Coturnix japonica: one gene and its partners. The protein of the gene in region 1 purifies or fractionates together with the protein of each later gene. This does not show direct contact. Links are inferred from orthologs where the notes say so. Each region holds a gene or a part of one and is shown in the gene's direction. Other genes may lie near its edges.

Region 1 (6,171 bases):
CCCCAGATGCCAAAACAGCATGCGTTATTCTGAGGTTAAACCACCACCACCAAATGCAAATGAAAGGTACTTTGGTCACTCACAGAATTAATCAGACGATCAGTTTCCCTAGGGTTCAGTTTCTTGTAAACCCAGTTTCTGACTGGACCAATTCTGAAAATTAGTAACAGTTTAAAAGACAAAACAAAACAAAAATTGGCTACTTCATAGCCAAGTCCATCTTAATGTCAACTATTTAGTAGCATAACTCAAAAGCTAGGATGGCCCCTACTCATGTTTCTCCAGTTTATGTATGCGATACAGATATACAACCAGTACCTGTGACCCCAGTTACATCCATTCACCCGACAGTGCTGCTACAAGATTAAATTTGGGATCTCTGCTCTCAGGCTGTCCACAGACAGGGACTCAAGTCACTCAGCTCACATGACAGAATATCATAGTTATTGAAGATGCTTAGGTCCCACTATTTGCACTGATGATTTGAGGCTGTTCCCAGGAATGCGTCCCGGGAGGGTAAAGCAGAGTGTGTATCAGCTTACGGCTGATGTCAGCTGCTCTCCAGCAACTGCTCTGCATAGAAGCTAGCAAGCTGTAAGATGTTCCTCAAGAGAAATCACATCACCCTGCATTTGTCATTGCATGGACAGCTACCACAGCCTGACTTGTACATGGCAGCCTGGCAGCAGGGTGTTACCTGCAAGCAGGAACTCCAAAGCACTACCATGCTACTTTTAAATGGGTGACCCCATCTCACGCATGAGGAGGTGTTACCATGCTGTTCACTTACTTCATAACAAGGCGACAGATGATCAGGATAGCAAGGATCCCCGAGTAAACCAGGAATGCAAAGAGGATAGCTACATGGAAGAGAAGAACACAACTCCGTATCTTACACAGCAAAACTGCTCATTGGCAGGAGTCTGGTCAAGCGTGATACAAACACGACAACCAGCTCATCCCACCATCCATCACCCCACTTTCTCCACAGAATATGTATCCCCAGCCTGAGTCCCACAGAGAGAAAGAACAAAAGTGAAGCAGGCTAGCAATCAGTAACTGCACATCTTGGCATAAAAAGGCAAAATAAATGCACACTGAAGCAATAGTGAAGAAAGCGTTGATGTGCTGTATGTTCTGATGAAAAACCTAGAGACTCAGAGATAGCCTCAATGAGTACAGGGAGAGAGTAACAGCATTTGAAAGAGTGAAGGATTTTTCTGTATAGCTGGAGAACTGGAAGGACTGAAGAAAAGCCTAATGCAAAGGAGTGGAATGGAAGAGATGAGAGCTTAAAGAAGACCTGAGAAAGGAGATGAACAAAAAAAGGAAGGCAGCGGGCTTAAAATTAAAAGCACAAAGACTACAAAACAGAAATCCAAATACTAAGATTTGTTTCCTGTTTTATAAGAGAAGCAAGACAGAGGGAAGAACAAGAGTCCTGTGTGTGTTCAGAAACATGGAGGGAAAGAAGAACCAAGAATGATAAAATCTCCCTCTGGATAAAATGCCCACTGATTTTTGTGAGGCCAATTTCTGCTCCAAAAATGTTGTGGTCACAGGGCATCTCAAGTGAAGAGACCTGATTTTGGCCAGGGCCTCCAGGCAGGGATGTAAAACGTAAGGAGGCAAAATACTGAGAGAGAAGACGTGCAGACCCACTGCATGCTTCAATACAACCCAGGTAGCTACAGAGGCATTTCAGGTAGCTGGCTTTATTGAGACATGCATGTTGCAGAATGAAAGAGGAAAGCTGAGCATTACATACGGAGGTAGCTGTTGATGGGGCCTTTATTGACGACTATGTCACAAGAAATGGTTTTGGCACTTGTGTTTAGGGTCTTTACCACTAGGCAGTAATTGCCAAACTCTCCAAAATGATACTGAATCCTGCAAAGAAAAGGGAGACAGAACTTGCTGTTCCATGTAGATAACAAGGCATCACTCACAGAGCTGCAGGGTGAGCATCACCCTCCCAAAGCTCACATCACCCATCTCCTCGCACCACTGCATGTGAGACTGGGCCCTGTCATAGGCTGCCCCTGCTCCCAGACCCACTCAGTGTAACCCAGAGCCTGGCGAACCCTAGGTCTCAGTGGTCAGGAAAGAGGTGAAGGTGGAGACAAAGATACAACATCATTCGCAGCGCGGGGGAAACAAAAACCCAGCAGCACACGGGAGAGCCGGGGCGGCGGCACTTACTTGCAGAGCTCGCTGCCGGCCTGGGAGCCGTTGAGCAGCAGGCTGAGCGGATGCTGGGTGTCCACCACCGCCACCGCGCTCGGGCCGCCGTCGCTCGGCGGGACGTCGGCCAGCAGCTGGTAGGAGCACTGCGGAGGAAGCGGAGGGTGAGGCGAACCGAGCCGCAGGCCGCGGGCCGGTCTCCGCCCGGCTCGGCGCGCTCACCCGGTGGCAGGCTGCGGAGCGGGCGAGCAAGCGGAGGCCCTGCACGGGCGGCTCGTTGCGGACCATTAGAAGGGCCTGGTCCATCTTGAGCGGCGGCGGCGGCCCGGCAGTGGGCCCCTCTCCGCCCGGCTGCGTGCGGCCCTGCGCCAGCAGCAACGCGCCCAGCGCCACCGCCACGGCCGCCGCCACAGCGGCCGCCATCGTTCCGCCGCGCTCCGCCCCGGGGCGGCGCCGCTCCAGAAGCGCGCCCGGCGCCGCGGCCCGGTCCCGGCGGTCAGGGGCGTCGGGCCGAGTGTTGCTCGGAGCCTGGCCTGCCGTCCGCACGGAGCGCGGGCCGCGCGGTTGGGCAGCACGGGGAGGCGGTTGTGCGGGCTGCCATGAAACGGCCCCTTAGAACCCTGCGCTGCGGAGGGAGCTGTCAGCCCCGTGTCTTCCATAGCGGAGATGGAAAAGAAAGCGCATTTCGTGAACAGAGACTTTCCTCCCAGGGAGGCGCCTTCGCTGCTGCCGGTGCTGCTGCTGGTGGCGGTGCTGCTGAACGCCCTGCTCTACCTGTACCTCGGCAACACGCACGGCTCTTCGGGCCGCGCCGACGCCGAGCCCAGCCTTTGCCCTTACGGGTCTTTCAGACTAGGGCCGGTGAAAAACTGCTCCCCATGGCTCTCCTGTGAAGCCATCAATAGGGAAGTCAGAAAACTCAAATGTGTTGGCGAAGGAGCTGTGAAAAAGGTGAGTCTGGTTATCCTTTCTTCTCACCAGTGATTCAGCTCCCAAGGGCTTTCGTTTTTAGCTGCCCACGCTGCTTTTATAGCTGCCCTTAGAGCAGCTGAAAGTCTTAGGCTACAAGTGAGGTAGGAGGCAGGAGAAATACGGCCATGTTTGTACCTGTCTCACCAAACACCAGCTACACACACAGCACCACGGGGATGGGCGAAGTGCTTCGCATGGTGCAACTGTGGCAGAGCAAGTCCGGCTGGGTGGTATGAAGCCGTTCCAATGAAAGCTCTGGAAATCACGAGCCATCCTATCGCTGTGATTACAAAATCAGGAAGGGTTTGCTGCAACATGTATGTGCAGCAGGTACGGCAAAGCCCAGAGGCTTCGCTGCTGACATAACACTGTACAGTCATGCACCAGCATGAGACTGACCGCACTGGGTGACTGTAGTTTGTGGCTGTGAATAAGCATTCGCTTGGATGCCACATGGTAACAGTCAGCGGAGGAAGGTTCTCCACATGTCTTACGCATCTCTTCTGTGTCCTCAGGTCTTTCTTTCTGAGTGGAAGGAAAACAAAGTGGTCATTTCACAGCTCACCAACCCAGAGCTGAAGGAAGACTTTCTCCACGGACTGAAGATGCTGAAAGCACTACAGAGCAAGCACGTTGTCCGACTGCTCGGCTACTGCGAGCAGCAGTTCACAATCCTCACTGAGTACCATCCTCTAGGTTCCTTGAGGGGTCTGAATGAAACTCTGCACCTCCCCAAGTACAAGAGCATGAACACTTGGCATCGAAGGCTGCTGCTCGCTATAGACTACGTGAGCATCATTCGCTACCTGCACAACAGCCCTCTGGGCACCTTAGTGATGTGCGATTCCAACGACCTGGACAAGGTGCTCTCTCAGTATCTTCTAACGAGTGACTTTCACATCCTGGTGAATGATTTGGACGCTTTGCCCCTGGTGAACAGGAGCGCCGGCAGGCTGGTCAAGTGTGGGCATCGGGAGCTCTGGGGTGAGTTTGTAGCTCCTGAGCAGCGTTGGCCCTATGGAGAGGACGTGCCGTTTGATGATGACCTCATGCCCCCATACGATGAAAAAACAGACATCTGGAAAATCCCGGATGTCTCCAATTTTTTCTTGGGCCACGTTGAAGGCAGTGACATTGTGCGACTGCACTTGTTTGATATCCATGCGGCATGTAAGAGGAAGGACCCAGCCCAAAGGCCATCTGCCCAGGAGATCTTAGACACCTACAAGAAAGTTCTAACTCTGTTGGTTCGGGAGGCAGCCATGCCTAGTACTAGGGAAATGTTGTAACAAATCATGGGACCAACAGTGGGCTGAAGTTGGTGTTCTTATTTATTTAGCTTGCCTGAAGGGCAAAGTGTCTGTTCCCTCAATTGAGAAGACAAAAGTAACTGACTTTGTACTTTACCTTTCGATTAAAAATTATCTACCCAATGCTGAAGCTGTGCATCTTTCCCATTGCTGTGTTTAATCTGTCAGTGCAAGAGGAGGAGGGAGAGAAATTATGTTTTGAGGACTGGGGAAATCTCTCGAGGACCAGAATTTTTCTTTTGCAGCATTTATATAAAATTCCCTTTTCAAACACAAAACATTTTTGTACAGACAGAGTTAAAAAAAAAAAAGAAAAATACTGTCCTACTTAAACGAATTGGCAGAGGTCTGGGGAACAGAGGCTACAACATGCCCCTCTCAAGCTCTGTGCTGATTCTGGTGGCTTTGGCCCATGTCTTATGCACAAAGTCCTCACCTGCTTCCCTATGGAGTAAAAGCAGCGGTCGTTCAAAAATGACTATAGTTCTCTGAAGGTTTTGGTGAGCCCCGCTGCCACCTTCCCAGCCACTCTGCCCAGCCTCCCTGCTGAATGGGGTATTGGGGGATTCCATGGGCTGCTTTCAGAGCCATGCGACCACTGCTTTGTGGTCCCCATATCCCACTAAACAGCATGTTGTTATTTTGAAGGCAAGCAAATGATACAGAGACAGCTTAAACGTGCATGGTTTTGGTTTTGAAACATTTGCCCCTACAGCATTCTCAGCAAGGTTCTTTGGAGATGAGGGTCCAGGAGTCCTCTTGCTCTTTTTTAATCCATAGGAAGTGTGAGCTCTTTGGAAAATAGCTAAAGTGTATCTTTTATTTGTATTCAGTTCATCTCTTTTGTACTCACTTTTGTGTTTCCTGAACATCATGCGTGGATGGAAGGAGAAAGAATAGGGAATGGGAAGAGAACGTGACTTCCTTTGACAGCAAATTGTGTGTTGGAAAATAAAAGCCTTACATTCAGAATAAACAACTCTGTCAGGCCTGAATTCAAAATGTATTCACCAGAAGAAGAAAAAAAAATAAAAAGGCTGCTTCTTTGTTCAGTGAGTTTAGGAGAAAGCTCCTGATACCAACACGATGTTACAGCCTGTCACAGGTACCAACCGCTGGAGAAAGAGTAGAGCGATACCTTAATTCTGAGCAGGCCCTGCTTGATGAGATTGGGATTTAGTTGTGCTCTTGGTGAATAAAAAAAAACACAAACAGGAATACTACAAATGAGATGTGGACTTTAGCTTTAGTAGAGGACTTTCTATGCTATGGAGTAGGTCTTTGGAAGGCCTAATGGCCTGAGACAGCTTGCTTCTTGCCTTGAGAGGTGAGTTGCAGGCAGAGAAGTACACTGTCCTTTCTGCTGAGGAGTTTGTTTCTGTTGCCACAGTGATAGTCTACTTCATCTAAACAATCCGTGTTATAACTGAACTGAAAGCAGGTTTTTTACTTATGTTCAACTCTGGCCCTGGAACAGGCTGCCCAGGGAGGTTGTGGATGCCCCGTCCTTGGAGGTGTTCGAGACCAGTTGGACGGGGCCCTGGGCAACCTGATCTAGTAAAGGTGTATGTTTGGTGGCCCTGCCAGGCAGGGGGGTTGATCCTTGAGGTCCCTTCCAACCTGGATCATTCTGTGATTCTGTGATTCTGTGTTCTTTTGCTGTAAAACTTTATCATAAATGAGAAGACTGTCCTTCACATGACAA
Region 2 (5,434 bases), on another chromosome or scaffold:
GTCAGCTGTTCATGCTGTGCGCTGATTCCTTTTGGCTTGGTGCTGTTTTGGTGCAGTTGCCTGAGCTGTGAAGGGGAGGGCTGTGGGCATGGATTGAGACCATAATCCTCGAGGCCATCGCTATTGTTATGGAACAGGCTGTGACTGCATGTTGCTGTAGTGACAAACTGGACGTGACCTCAACACAAGTCTCTAAAATGCAGTTTAGTTGGAGTAATAAAACATCCCCTCTGTCATTAGAAGCAAGTTAAAGAATAATCTTAGAATGGTACATCTGGCATGCAGTGGAGTTGTGGTATATGGATAGTGCTGATAAGCTGCTGAGACTGTAAATGCTTTTAGTTGCCTGAACATGCTTTAGAAAGTAGATTTGTTTTCTAGCTCAAACTTACGCCCCTCCAGGCCTTATTCACTCTCCTTGAGTTATGTTTGTAAATCTGTGGGACTGCAGCCTGGGGCAGGAATGTGTAGGAAGGGGAGAATGTTTAGTTTGATAATCTGGTTCTAGAAGGAATCAGCCTCAGCTACAACTCTGGAAAGAAAATATTTGGAATGTAATTGAAAGGAGCAAATCTCCTTGCTGTGAGCATCGCATGTCTGTCTGTAGCGCTGATAAAATGATGAGCAGCCTGGTAGGAGTTTTGCTTTCTACATCCACCTAAAGGTTCAGTGATTGAGTCATTCTTTTTATGTCATTTTACTTACAGAGATCTTTTGAACTTGAGTTTCTCAAGGTCTGCTATGTTTTAGTTAGGATGACATGCTGGGCATCCCGTAAATTAATTGGTGTGACGTTTTAGTTCTATAAGATTTCTGTATTAGATTTTTTTTCTTTGATCATCCTGTTGAATTAGAGATGAAATTGACGGCCTGTTGAACAGTGGGATTTCTTCTGGGTCTGCTTCAGTATCCAGCTGCTCATAGATGCCTGCTGAACAGCATCAGTGACTGCTGGCAATCTGTCTAGAAGGAGGTGTGGGGAAGGGGACTGATGGATGAAGGTACTGATGTCCTGTGTATGAGAACAAGAAAATGACTGAACTGAGGTAGAAGATGGGTTGCTTTGTAGATGCTTGAAGGAGGTAGCTGGTATTTATGAACTGAATAGGAATACCAGTGTCAGCCTGTTGCCTTCAAAGTTTCTCACAAACAAGAAGTGGATTTTCCCATTCGGTTTTTCTAGATACGTAAGTTGTGTTGAAGACATGTCTGCTCTTTTCATGGGCTATGGCAGTGGAGGGACAATACTGGCACTCCAGCACAAACTGCAGAGCTTGTCTGTGTGCTGCTTCAGTGCATTAACATCTGTTTTGTATTAAATACACCTTTCAGTTGTATACCTTTCCCATTTTCTCACCTGTCTTAACCAGCCAGAAGCAATAAATAGTAGAGCAGAGAAAGCTACGTTTGTACCTCTTTCAGTGATGTGACTTGACACCTCACCCACTGCCAGAGAAGCTCATTCTCTCAACTGAGAAGTAGTGTATTGCTAGTGTGTGTGCTTAACTTCTTTCTTTTTCGTATTTATTCAGATAATGGAGATGAAATGGCTGCTGCTTGTGACCCTTCTAGCTCTTGGGACTCTTGCTGCCCAGGAGCATGATGTGGGTGACGATGATGGTGATGATGTCATTGATATTGAGGATGACTTGGATGATGGTGTTGAGGAAGTAGAAGACTCAAATCCTGAAAGCAGCACTCCTCCTCCAGCTCCAAAGGTTTGGCATAGTTGTTCTTTAACATTTAATTACTTCTTGTGTTTTGGCTACTGTCAGTCTGATTAGAGTTGACTTTACTTTGCTGAAACTTAATGTATAGTGATGCTGTTAGAGATCACTAGCAGGGAGTAGGGTTTGGAATTTAGCTTAGCTGCTTCCTTGCTATTCTCATCTGACCTGCATCTTCTTTCGCGAAGACTTCAGTGAATATTTGAAAACTGAGGTGTAGTTATCAGGCATTAATGTTAAAGTTTCTAGCTAGACAAAATCTTCAGTTCTTGTTGCAGAGGAGAGCACAGTGGCTCAGCATAAGCAGCAGTGTAAACATTTCTGTATTTATGCTGCCAGAATGCTCTAGGTGCTTTATGGTATGGATGTGGGATGTGAGCTGTATGTGCCTCTACTTCTTTAGAGGATGTGCCTTGAAAGGTTCATAAATGCCTCTCTTCTCCCCTAGGTTACTTACAAAGCACCAGTCCCAACTGGCGAGGTCTATTTTGTAGAGTCCTTTGATAAAGGAACTCTGGATGGGTGAGTATAACATTAGGGGGCAACTGAACAGATGAAATCAGAGTATTATGTGAAAGGGAATTCCTAGTGCCTGTTACTGAAAATCAACAGGCAACACGTGACAAGATCAACCAGTTTTTGCTTAGGTACTAGTAATAATGGGAAGAGAAGCCCATATTTTATGTATGCTTTAATCTTTCTCATCTGACTTTGTGTACTTGCTTCAGATTCTGAGGCAGTGAGTGATCCTACATAAAGCTGAGAACTTGGCAGGTTTGGGATAGAGCTCAGGATCGAGACACTTGGGGTTTAGTCACAGGACAACAAAGGCTATTTTAAGAGCAGGGGTTTTTGTGTGCATAATGAAAAAGTATGAGTTTCTTACTGTTGGATGCTTGTTTTCTAGATGGATCCTTTCCAAAGCCAAGAAAGATGATACAGATGATGAAATTGCTAAGTATGATGGTGAGTCCTACCCATATTTTGACTGGTAGTTGTTTCTGATGTCATTTTGTCTTATATAAAGAAGAGGTGCAAGTCTGTTCTTCTTGCTCCCTGAAATTGTGTTCACTGAAGAAAATGGGAGAATGTGTACATGCTTAACAATATAAAGTGTGATCCTGATTCAGATAAGATTCAAACAAAATTTCCACTTAAAGGTTTTAAAATAATTTTTAGTGAAGATGTTAAGCCCAGTAACTTGAAGGCACCCTGTATGAAGATGGTGATGACTTTCTTGTTTAGGATTGGGCTAAGACAAGATTGTATCAAATGGGTTTTGATAATACTTTGTTAATTTTCGTCTAGGTAAATGGGAAGTCCAAGACATGAAGGACAGTAAGCTTCCAGGAGACAAAGGGCTTGTGTTGGTAACACGAGCCAAACATCATGCGATTTCATCCAAGCTTTCAAAGCCTTTTGTATTTGATACCAAGCCCCTTATTATACAGTAAGTAAAAGATAACTTAGTGTTCTGTGAGGGGTGTGATGTGGTAGTAGGCTTGGGTTTATTTTGTAACTGAGCTTTTGTTGGCTGGGGGGTCTAGATGACACAAGATAGACTGTAACCTCTCATTATACAATTTGAGTAGGAGTAAAATAGCAATCTTGATTCCTCAAGTGGGAAGTTAGGAACACAGTGGCCCCCACTGCAGCCTGACAAAAAAAGTAGTCTATGAGTTGGTAATTAGTCTCTGGACTTGAATTTCTCATTCACTAGCACAGAAATCTGTTGCCTGTTCTGTTAATTGTAAAAGTCCATGTCCACTTCACCAAGAGCTTGTCTGTATGTTTCTCACTGTGTTTATTCAGTGAAGTGTCCAGTTTCAAAGGTGGAGTGAGCAGAGTGTTAAGGGTGCACTTGTTTCCGCCTTCCTTTGTTCTGGTGCATCTGTTGTGGAAGATGAACAACTTGCCTAATTCTGTTGGGCCATGAGTGATGTAGAGGAATCTGCTTGCATGCATGTTAGACTAGTAAGCAGGAAAAGAATCTTTCAGTGACAACAGTTGAATTGTGGGATATTACCTATGTTACCAGTTATAAACAGCCAGTGATCCAGTTCATATTTGTACAAGATAATGAAATGGTCACTTTACTTTGTGTTACTGTTTAGTTTTGGCTCAAAATGCGTGGCTAAAAATAAGTTGAAGTGGTCATTCACTTCAGCTGCTGGCATTGAGAGAGGTTTGAGCATGCTTAGCCTATTCCTGACCGACATGCTTTGCCTTTTTCAGACTCCTTGGCATCTCTAAATATACTATTGTATGCTTGCAACCCTAAGGGGAGATCTTCTAGGATCCAACTGCTCACTTCAGTCATCTTGCAAATTGAGTTGTCTGTCTGCTGTAATGGTTGTGTGGAAAATAATTTGTTCCCCTTAATCTCCATTGCAGTCTCTTACATACTTGAAAAACCTTTTCTTCCCTCTACTTCTGGATCATAATCTTCTAGACTAATGCTCAATTCTTTTAATCTTTTCTGTCAGGTTAAGTCTTTTAAATCCTTGCTTCTTTTCTCAGGCCCCCTTGAACATCTGCTTAGTCTCTAGAGCGCAGCATGTGTTTTTAATGTTCACTTTTGATTTGAAACAAACAAAACCAAAATAGTATTGCTCTGCAATTTTCAAGTATAAATTCATTCATGTATTATGAAGGTAAATGTTGCTTGTGTATAATGTGTTCTTCATTTCTCTGTCCAAATAAGGTATGAAGTAAATTTCCAAAATGGAATAGAGTGCGGTGGGGCCTATGTGAAACTGCTTTCAAAAACACCTGAATTGAACCTGGTGAGTGCTGCTAATACTAATACTGAGTGTTATCCATGGAACAAAGCAACACAGCTTTTTTCTTTCTAGAGAAACCACTTTGGTAAAGGCGGTGGGGCATATTTAGGGCCTGATCTTCAAACTACTTTGGGCTCATCAGTTTCCTGGTATTTTCAGTTGGAGATAAGAAATACTGAAATTTCTTGGCCACGTGACTACGTATAATGTAATTTTTAAAAGGCACCCAGAAGACTTGGCTATCTAGCCAGCTTCGTGTGTGCATTGACTCTCAAGATAGCATCAGCCAAGGCAAATAGACTGACAGTGATTATATTCAGTTAAGACTGAAATTGAGGCAGGATATACCAGCTTAAGTGTGTAAATGAAATACATCTCAGCTCCACTTCTAATGATGCTTATTCTGTATGTGAAAGAAAGTCACTGGATTTGGCTTATAGTATCTGATATTTCTATTAGTGGCTTTTTAGTCATTTTTGTAGTGTAGGGATTTGCTAAAAAAATACATAATTGTCACTGTGTAATGATTTACTTACCTTGGTAACAACACTTGTACAGCAGTTTTTTTCCCCACCTCAAAAGTAGAGACCAAAGGTGCAAAATGAGGATGCTAGGCTAATTCTGGTCTCCTCTCAAGGAGTTTGTAATTGTGATGTAAGTTTTAGTCTGGGAACCTCACTACCTTTGATAGAAAGTTGCAGACAAGTTCCAATGCACTGAGGGATTTTAGGGTGGGCATTAGCTGAAGCTGTATTTCAAATTAATGGCATTAAGTTTTGCATTGTTTTTAAAGGATCAATTCCATGACAAAACTCCGTACACGATCATGTTTGGCCCAGACAAATGTGGAGAGGATTATAAGTTGCACTTTATCTTCCGGCACAAAAACCCAAAGACTGGCAAATATGAGGAGAAGCATGCAAA
Region 3 (4,284 bases), on another chromosome or scaffold:
TTTTTTCTAATCTTGGTCAAGCAGGCATTAAGGGTGGAGGACAGGAAAGGGTACGGTATCCACAACTCTTCTGTGGGGGATCTTTTTAACTGGTTTTGTATTGCAGTTCCTATTTGTTTGTGTAATAAAGACCAGTAAAGTCAGCTTTACTGACTTTAGTTAGTAAGTTTAGTAAGTAAGTTTAGTAAGTAAGCTAGTTAGCTTCTTTTTTTAATTCTTATTGTGTTTTGTGAAGCTCTGTGGTGGCAGTGGAGTGAATCTAGAGTGTTTCACATAAAGATCTTCAAGAAACAGTAAGGCAACTTGGGAAGCAAAGCTTGAAGAAGCCTAAGGTGGGGCAGCTGTTACAGATAGGGGAAACTGGTGTCAAAATGTTTTTCTCTATCCAAGAAAAAGCATTTTGTGAATGCATGATTTTTATTTTGTTCCTTTTGGTACAGTTGATCGCCTGGGAAGGCTTGTTGTTGCTGGAGGGGCTGCTGTTGGTTTGGGGGCGCTCTGTTACTATGGCATGGGCATGTCCAGTGAGATTGGAGCTATTGAAAGAGCAGTGTAAGTAAAATTGCTTCTCTAGGTGCTGTCTCCGAAAATACACGTAGATTATGTTTCTTAAGCTCTGGGCAGAAAGCTCTTACTTCTGTGCAGGATTTTAAGCTTCTCATCTGTAGCATGATGAAACCGTACTGCAACAGCTCTCATTCAGGTCTTTTTGCATTACTCGTGCTCTCCAAATGACAGGCGTGTCTTGTTACAGCAGATAAACACAGACAGAGTGACTCAGCATTTTGCGAGCAGCACACTGGGCTTCCTACTGCTGAGGGCACCTTCTGTACCATTTTTCCTTTACCCAGTGTATTGTGCATATGCTGTTTTATAGTTTTCCGTAATTAATGTGCATTTATTTCTCTTTCCCATTTGTACTTTTTGTAACGTGTGCTTACTTCACAGAATTGAACCATAGTAGCATTCTTTATAGTTTTTGCTGTAATTGTTATGTAATGGCTCTGTATAGTGGTAAGGATTTAAAAGTTCAGCCCCTTTGTTATAAGAGCGATGCATGAGAGCAATGGCTAAACAACTAAATGGCTCCCATTGTATCCTTAGCTTTTATATCTTTATAGTTGGTCTTCGTTATGGTGTTGTTAATTGCACAGTTACGTCCAAATGCTTATTTTTCAGTATTTGGCCCCAGTATGTGAAAGACAGAATTCAGTCTACCTACATGTACTTTGCGGGAAGCATTGGCTTGACAGCGCTGTCGGCTGTAGCAGTAAGCAGGTCTCCTGCGCTCATGGGTCTTATGACAAAAGGTTCCTGGCTGGTAAGCTTCTATTTGTTTTAGAGCATCTCTAAAATGATTGTAAATGTTAACAGTTGTTATAAAAAGTACACGACATAAAGTGTGCTGTGAAAAGTAAAGCAAATTATCACTTAAGGACAACTGCAGTAGCATAAGTGCCCTAGTAATAGCTTGCTGTGAATAGCTGCTTGAAGCTAGTGATGTTATTTCTGTCACTTTGTAAACGTCGTAGCAGAGGTTTCTATGCATTTGTTCTCCTTTGCTTGCTGCTCTTTATAACTCTTTGAAAACTCCTTTTTGCTGAGACCAAAGTGATATTGGCAGACCGATATCACCTCATTCAGATGAGATACTAACAGAACATGTCTGCTTCCTGCACGTTCGGTGTGCTGAGTGCGGTGGAATAGTAACGGTTAAATATAGCACAATGTGCAGTGGTTATTCCTTTGTGATAAGAGCAAGTTACCTTCTAGTAGGCTGGAAAAGATCATGTGGGAGAACAGAGACCTTTTGTCCTTACGCCATCTTGAGTTCTGTAATGCTGTTCTTACAGGCTATCGGTGCAACTTTTGCCACCATGATTGGTGCCGGAATGTTGGTCAGGTCCATATCATATGAAAACAGTCCAGCAGCTAAACATCTGGCTTGGATGATGCATTCGGGTACGTGATTATAGTTTTCATTAAGTTGTCTCCTGCTGTAGGACTAAATTCTTACTTGTACTACAATATCAAAGCTTTGTTCATTTTTATGCACTGCTGTTGATCTCGGCACTATGCTCAGTGTTTTTCAGCTGTACTTGATAAGTGTATGAAAACTGATGAAAAAGGTACAGTTTTGGTATTAAACTGCAACTTCTCGATTGTATGTTCTCAACTGAATTGCAGGGTAGAGTACAGATACGTTTCTTATGGATGTTACATACTTGAGTTAACAATGGCTGTCTGTCTTGAGAACTTCGGCCAGAAGCGTGGTTTGGAAAAGAAAAACTCATCAGGAGCTGGAATTACACTTTTCTCTGTAGAGCTCAAGTTTCTACCAAAAAGAAATTAGATTTAACATAGTGATTTGTCATTAGTAGGTAGGGGCTTCATACAGTATTCTAGCAAAAAGCATCACTGATTTCTAGCAAAAAAAAATCTATCTGTTCTGAGTGTTCCAGAAGCTGTGAAGGGGTCGATTAGTTCTTTGTAAGATGAGCTCCCTTAAGTTTTCTCTTAAGCTACAGAAAAAGTAGGTCACCAAACATAAAATCATGCGCCTGTTTAGAAGGTAGCATGATAAATTGAAAACCAAGTGCATTGGTATGCTTTAATGTAAGTGGATTCAAGCCATATTATCTGACTCAAAAATATATGGTTTTGGTAGGTTGTCTTTTTTTTTACACAGACTGTTCCAGACGTTTTGTTTTGTTTCTCTGCTACTTTGGCTAGGTGTCATGGGTGCGGTGGTGGCTCCTCTGGCTTTCTTGGGTGGTCCCTTGCTGATCAGAGCTGCCTGGTATACGGCTGGAATCGTCGGAGGGCTTTCGACTGTGGCCGTGTGCGCTCCGAGTGAAAAATTCCTGAACATGGGAGGACCGCTTGGAATAGGCTTTGGCTTCGTTCTTGCCTCTTCGATTGGTAAAGTACCAATTCATTACTGTTAAATAGAGCGGGCTATAAACTGAAGCTACTAGAATGTGCAGCTGACTTCTCTTTGCAAACTGACCAGTTCAAGTTGGCCTGAAATAACCATTGTCAGACTTGGCAGTAGGTTTATGAATGTTATTGTGTATTCTTTTCCAGGATCCATGTTCTTGCCGCCTACTTCTGCTTTTGGGGCTGGCTTGTATTCCGTAGCTGTTTATGGAGGATTGGTACTCTTCGGCTTGTTCCTGCTCTATGACACGCAGCATGTTATCAAACGCGCAGAGACTATTCCTTATTACGGAGTAATCAAATATGACCCCATCAATGCGTAAGTATTTTGATCCGAATGTACGTGTGACCGTTATGAGCTACTGTATGACTATGCTTTACTCCTGAAGAGCTGTGCTTTTTGTTTACCTTTGGGAAGCATCTTTATATTAAATGGGAACTATCATAGGGTTTAGTAATGTAATGTGAAAATAACCAGCGCAGTTGAAACTGAAAGCATCTGTCTGCAAGGAGGGAAACGGTTTTGAATATGTGGTGTTACGTGCCTTCAGTGATGCTAACTTCGTTAAAGAGAAAAGTTTGTGAAATATTACTAGGAGGATTTGTAGCAGGTATCTGCAAATAACTATCAGTATCGGCCGAGATCAAGCACTCTAAGTGTTCTGTGGTTATGTAGTACTTATTAGTTTCAATCGCTTAAAAAACCCAATAGCTTAAACAAGGCGTTACAGAAAGAATTCCATGAGAGAGCAGTATGATGTCTGCTAAGGGCTTTTGCCGATGGATGCTGCTGGCAAAGATGGTAGAGTGAAATCGTAAGGGGGTGTTTTCACTCATCAAGGGCAGAAGACGTGCCATCGCTATGACAGGCCTTCAATGGAGGCTTTTAAAAAGTCAAGTATAATGGCATGAAGTACCAGTTAATGCTCTTCATGTTCAACAGGGTTAACTGTCCTTTTTTGTCTCCTAGGTGCATGGGCATTTACACAGACACGCTGAACATCTTCATTCGTGTGGCCACCATGCTCGCTGGTGGTGGAAGCGGAAGGAGAAAGTAAATGGAAGTAAACAGAGACTCTTAGCAGCTGTCTGACAGCTCAGACTCTTAGGTTGTCTGCATAGTGCATATAGTAAATAAAAATTCATCGCTACCAGCGGTTTTGCCACAGGTCAAAGGTTTAAAGCATTTCAGCCTGTTGTTTAAGTGCTAAAGTGTTAAGTGTTAAAGAACATCTGAGCATAATCACCTATCTGATTTTTCACAAGCTCGGAAGCAGTTCAGCTATCGTTTTCCTTTTTACTGGAACTGCGCAGAAATAGTATTAACTTCTTTAAATGGGTATC
Region 4 (4,784 bases), on another chromosome or scaffold:
ACTAGTTTTTCAGGTAAGTAGTTGACCGTGGTACTGCTAAAGAAATTAATCAGGAGTTAATCATTTATTTTGGTGATTCTGCTGTAGTTCCAATAAGAGACTGGTGGATACATTGTAATACAGGGTAAAAACAACCAAACAAACAGAGTCTGCTTTGATCTTCACCCATTGGGTTCTCTTAATGATCTGAAGTGGATGACTGTGCACCCATTCTGTGCTTTGTCAGAGATGCAGCCTGGCTTTGCTGTGAGCCATAGGAATAGAATTGCAATGTGGCATTTGCTCTCCCAGCTCTGGCTTTACCCCAGGACTGAGAGCTCTGTCTGAAATGGGTCGGGCTGCGTCACAGCGTTACAGAACTGGAGCTGTGTTTTATTTCAGATGATCCAGGCTGTCTTATTTTTCTGACTTCTGGGTCTGGTGGGGGGAAGGATGGTGGTGCTCTACTGGGTGGCTTTCTGTAGTGCTTAATTTGTGGGGTTTTGGTGGTTTCTTTGTTTTGGTCTATTTATTCTTGAATGGAGGAATGTAAGTGTTCTCTTGTGCCTTCCCAGGAAGAGGAGCTGTACGCGTGCCAACGAGGCTGCAGACTGTTTTCCATTTGTCAGTTTGTGGATGATGGCATCGATTTGAATCGAACCAAACTGGAATGTGATTCTGGTAAGAAATCAAAACTCCTTTAACTTCCCCTGATGTGGAGGGAACAGCAGCAGCATCTGAAGGATGTTGTTAAATTGGTGGGATTATTTCAATTGCTTCCATGCAACTTCAGGCTCATTTATAGAAGTGAATTATTCAGATGAAGAGCAGGTATCACAATGTATGTCTGCCTTGTAGCTTGTGGTCTAGGCTAAACTCTTAACGCAGTAAACTACATTGAAATAGGGATCTAAACACTCAGGACTAATTGTCTCAGATCTGTGTTAGAGTGATAATCTCATAGTGAAGGTGAAATCTATATGTGCTGTCGCCAATTAACACAGTTTCTGCAGCTATGCAGAACTTCTATGTAATAATAGCAAGGTGGCTGCTTAACAGTTTTGTTCAGAGATTAAGTGGGATGTAACCACCCAAAGCAGGAAAACCAGCAGAGTAGCTCCCCTCTATTTCTGAAATATAATTAAAACATCAGCACTAAGAGGAGGCTTTTGTCTTCTTAGTAATTCATAAAAACAAGAGGGCTAGTAGTTAGCTCAGGGAGCTGCGGGAAGATACACAAGGAGAAAGCCTAAAATGCAAAGTTGTTAATGTGGTACAAAGCCATATTAAATGCTCTAGAAATGGGCTAGTGCTTTAGTCTGTCATACACTGTGTATAGCTGTGATACAGCTTGTCAATCTAGTTGTCGAACCACACATGAAAGAGTGCCATAAAAAGGGTGATGTAGCGATAAGGCACACGTAGAGGTAATTGAACAGTTGCTTGCATTCTGATCTAACTCTCCTTTCTGAGGCTGTTGTCTTTTGCTGGCTTATGTTCTGTAATCTGTAACCTGAGTTCTCCATGTATAAATGTGAATAACTTAGGTTTCTTGGTCTTCATGGTTTCTAGCGAGCAATTGATAGAAGATACATGTAAATGAAGAGTTGGCTTCATTTAATTTGTGTTGAAAATTAATTCATCAATACTTTCAACACAGTTAATGTACTTACTGTGTTAGCAGGAAAATGTTCCGTAGGTTTTGCTAAGGAATAACGTGCTTTCTACTATTACCCCTGACAGGTTTAGTAGATCTGTGGTCTCTCTACTTGTTTAGAATTCCAGCTTTGTTCTCTAGGATAAAGTAGTAAAAATGTTTGACATGATCTGTAGAGGAAAAAAATACAGCGGTGGTAGGAGAATCAATGAAAACTTGCAACCTTGAGTTTGCCCAGATTCATGTTTGTGATCGGTTGCTCTGACAGCATTCAGATTTAAAATATGTGATTTGTATGAGCTCCAATTCCTTAACCTTCATTAGGCCCAGCACCAAATGCTGATCTTGGAATGATTGCCATATCTTTCCCTACAAATGAGGTTGTCAATCTCTTTAACTGCTGCTTTGTTTCTGATCCAACTTATGTTGGAAATGTTTTCTTAACTAAAGTGCAGAATTTATCTTCTCATTTTGGGCACTTCTCTTGCAGCCTGTACTGAGGCATACTCCCAGTCTGATGAACAATATGCTTGCCATCTTGGATGCCAGAACCAATTGCCATTTGCTGAGTTAAGACAAGAGCAAGTAAGTACATGACATGTTTTTCAAATACCACCTACTTGTTTTCTGTTCAGCGTGTCTTCCCTTTTTTAAAATTCTTCAAATGACATCTTTTTAAGAATTGAAATACAGACATGTATTTCAGATGGGGAGATGAATGAGCATGAACATAAGTTCTGTCCTCTTCAAATGAAAACAGATTGAAAACCAGCTAATGTTTTATTTGCAGCTAATGTCCCTGATGCCAAGAATTCATCTCCTCTTTCCTCTGACACTGGTGAGATCCTTCTGGAGTGACATGATGGATTCAGCTCAGAGCTTCATAACATCCTCATGGACTTTCTACCTTCAAGCAGATGATGGCAAAATTGTCATATTCCAGGTGCCTGCCTTTTTGTTGAGGTTAAGATGTTCTGGGTGCTAAATACTTATCTGTGCTCCTTCCAGTCTCAGAAAAGACTATGGGTCACTGTCAGAAGTGTTCAGCTTTTGGTAGCATTTTGCTGCATTTAGTGCCATTTCAGGGGTAAAAAAAGAAATAAAATTATGTGAATGGAGCATGTCTTATGACTGACTTCCCTATTAATTCTGAAAATGTAGAGGATCAGATGAATGGAAGGCTGCTAACAGGATCTGTTCATCCTTGTTTTGTTTTAGTCAAGGCCAGAAGTGCAGTATGTTCCACAGCTTGATCAGGAAGCTGAAAATAGAAGAGGATCCTTGTCCCTGAGTAAAACAGCTTGTAAGTTCTTCTTTCTGGTTTGGAAGAGCAAATGCAAATGTTCCATATCATACAAGAAAAAAAAACCAAAACAATGAAAAACAATAACCAGAACCAAAGTTGCAGGTGAAATATGAAAGCACATTTTTAGAAAGCTGAAGTGCAATTCTTTGCAGTGCACATTAGCAAGGTCTGTTGGTAGTAACCAACTCTCCTGGAAATAGAAATGTTTCAAGCCAGGGCCATTGTGAAATCTTCCCTTTGTGTTCTCTGTAGACAAACTGGATAAAGTTTGTGTCTTTTATTGCTTTTCTGACAGCTGCTTCTGCTGTTCTATTTCAGCGGACCCACAGCCAGGAAGCTCGCAGACATACCGAGGACTTTTTGAAGAGCAAGGAAACGACAGCTTTTTCAAGTGTCTTTCCATGTATGTATGTCAGTACCTGGTACAGGGCATAGTGGTGTGTCCTACATGTGTGGTGGCATTTCTGTAAGGCATCAGTCTTACAAGTCCTTTCGGTTCAGATTGAAGAGCAGTTAAACTGTTGTATCCAACCTTTTGTTATGGCTGCATTCCATGCTCACCCTGTGTTATCTGTGGGCTATTCTGCCAGCTTTCATTCTCTTTCCCATTCTAGTTAACTATAATACTGATAATTTCTTACTCTTATTTTTTTCTATGTGGAACATGATGTTGATAACTTTTTACACATTTTTTAGTATATTCAGCAAACTGTACCATCAGTTCCCAGTTTTACCTTTCTTTAGCTCTGGTTGTGTTTCAGGACAAAACATTTTTCTTTCCAAATGCAAAGGGCACTGTTGTGTCTCAGGTCTAGTCTGGAAATACCCAGTATATATTAAAGCTTTGCTGAATATCAGCATTTAGGTTATTTCTTCTCTCAGTCACTGACTGTTTCATTAAAAGCTGAGGTGTGAGGGATCAGTGAACTGCACCTTAAGTGCATAACAAAAATCTGTCCGTTGCCAAGATCTTAAATGGGAGAAAGTTCAGGGCCCCAAACCAGGACCCAGCAAGTTTTTTATAATCTTTCAAATTAGATACTAAATAAGTGTTAGATGTTATATTGTATAAGCAGCTGTCAGAAGTAGGCTGTGCAGCTGGGGAGAGAGAGTGACTAGTGAAGGAGCATGAAATGCAGTCAAAATGGACACAACTTTTAAAGACCCATTATTTTGTATCCAGTATATGAAATCTAGCAACATTCTTTTCATTTCAGAAACTCCAGCTGGATTTTAACCACTACGCTTGTTCTGTCCGTGTTGGTGCTCCTCTGGATTTGTTGTGCAACTGTAGCGACAGCTGTAGAGCAGTATGTTCCATCTGAGGTAACTGTTATGTTATTCTTACCTTACAGCTTTCTACAGAATAATCAACATAACAGGGAGATCAATTATAAAGAGTTTTTTATTTTGCTGATGTGGTCAGCAGACAAATTCTTGTTTGAATGATTTTCTAGCTGAACATCTGTCCGTCCTTGTGGCTGATAGGTGCTGTGAGCCTTGCTCAGTAAGCACAGATGGTGTCTTCTGGCTGATAGCTCTGCCCTCTTAGCAACTTTTGGGTTACTTTTCACAAATGGACATTGCTTCTGATTTCTCTGGTGGTAAAACTATTATGAGGATTAGATGAGACAGGTGGAAACTAATATGGGTTTAATTCAGTGGCGTCAATAGTGACAACAGACATGACAGCGTGTTGTTGGGGACTAGAGGAAGTCTGTATAAGGGGAAACCAACTGAGCTAGTATTCCTAAAGCCAAAAGAGGGCAAGATTTGTAGTGTTTGCAAGCTAAAGAGTTTGGTACACAAGCACTACATCTGTTGGGTTTTCTTTCCTCTGGT

The links. Proteins that work in one complex are often made in the same cells at the same time.
Region 2: the proteins of POMK (region 1) and CANX purify together in Homo sapiens (affinity purification with mass spectrometry; 3 studies listed by BioGRID and IntAct, counting the BioPlex papers as one, with this or other methods). This does not show direct contact. The link is inferred for Coturnix japonica from reciprocal best matches to the Homo sapiens genes POMK and CANX.
Region 3: the proteins of POMK (region 1) and GHITM purify together in Homo sapiens (affinity purification with mass spectrometry; 3 studies listed by BioGRID and IntAct, counting the BioPlex papers as one, with this or other methods). This does not show direct contact. The link is inferred for Coturnix japonica from reciprocal best matches to the Homo sapiens genes POMK and GHITM.
Region 4: the proteins of POMK (region 1) and TMEM59 purify together in Homo sapiens (affinity purification with mass spectrometry; 3 studies listed by BioGRID and IntAct, with this or other methods). This does not show direct contact. The link is inferred for Coturnix japonica from reciprocal best matches to the Homo sapiens genes POMK and TMEM59.

What each region holds. Positions count from the first base shown.
Region 1 is NC_029519.1:30,139,619-30,145,789, forward strand, and holds POMK (protein O-mannose kinase), read left to right. Parts: upstream 1-2,680; 5' UTR 2,681-2,850; coding exon 2,851-3,135; intron 3,136-3,671; coding exon 3,672-4,445; 3' UTR 4,446-5,442; downstream 5,443-6,171. Other genes in the region: HGSNAT (heparan-alpha-glucosaminide N-acetyltransferase), read right to left, coding at 84-153, 791-860, 1,769-1,890, 2,203-2,330, 2,407-2,607. UniProt on the Homo sapiens protein: Protein O-mannose kinase that specifically mediates phosphorylation at the 6-position of an O-mannose of the trisaccharide (N-acetylgalactosamine (GalNAc)-beta-1,3-N-acetylglucosamine (GlcNAc)-beta-1,4-mannose) to generate phosphorylated O-mannosyl trisaccharide (N-acetylgalactosamine-beta-1,3-N-acetylglucosamine-beta-1,4-(phosphate-6-)mannose).
Region 2 is NC_029528.1:4,540,754-4,546,187, forward strand, and holds part of CANX (calnexin), read left to right. Parts: intron 1-1,532; 5' UTR 1,533-1,535; coding exon 1,536-1,718; intron 1,719-2,175; coding exon 2,176-2,249; intron 2,250-2,634; coding exon 2,635-2,693; intron 2,694-3,035; coding exon 3,036-3,177; intron 3,178-4,431; coding exon 4,432-4,513; intron 4,514-5,303; coding exon 5,304-5,434. UniProt on the Homo sapiens protein: Calcium-binding protein that interacts with newly synthesized monoglucosylated glycoproteins in the endoplasmic reticulum. It may act in assisting protein assembly and/or in the retention within the ER of unassembled protein subunits.
Region 3 is NC_029521.1:2,251,544-2,255,827, reverse strand, and holds part of GHITM (growth hormone-inducible transmembrane protein), read left to right. Parts: intron 1-440; coding exon 441-552; intron 553-1,179; coding exon 1,180-1,321; intron 1,322-1,853; coding exon 1,854-1,962; intron 1,963-2,733; coding exon 2,734-2,922; intron 2,923-3,087; coding exon 3,088-3,259; intron 3,260-3,910; coding exon 3,911-3,998; 3' UTR 3,999-4,284. UniProt on the Homo sapiens protein: Plays an important role in maintenance of mitochondrial morphology and in mediating either calcium or potassium/proton antiport. Mediates proton-dependent calcium efflux from mitochondrion.
Region 4 is NC_029523.1:22,443,217-22,448,000, reverse strand, and holds part of TMEM59 (transmembrane protein 59), read left to right. Parts: intron 1-554; coding exon 555-660; intron 661-2,126; coding exon 2,127-2,221; intron 2,222-2,426; coding exon 2,427-2,579; intron 2,580-2,854; coding exon 2,855-2,939; intron 2,940-3,260; coding exon 3,261-3,345; intron 3,346-4,159; coding exon 4,160-4,268; intron 4,269-4,784.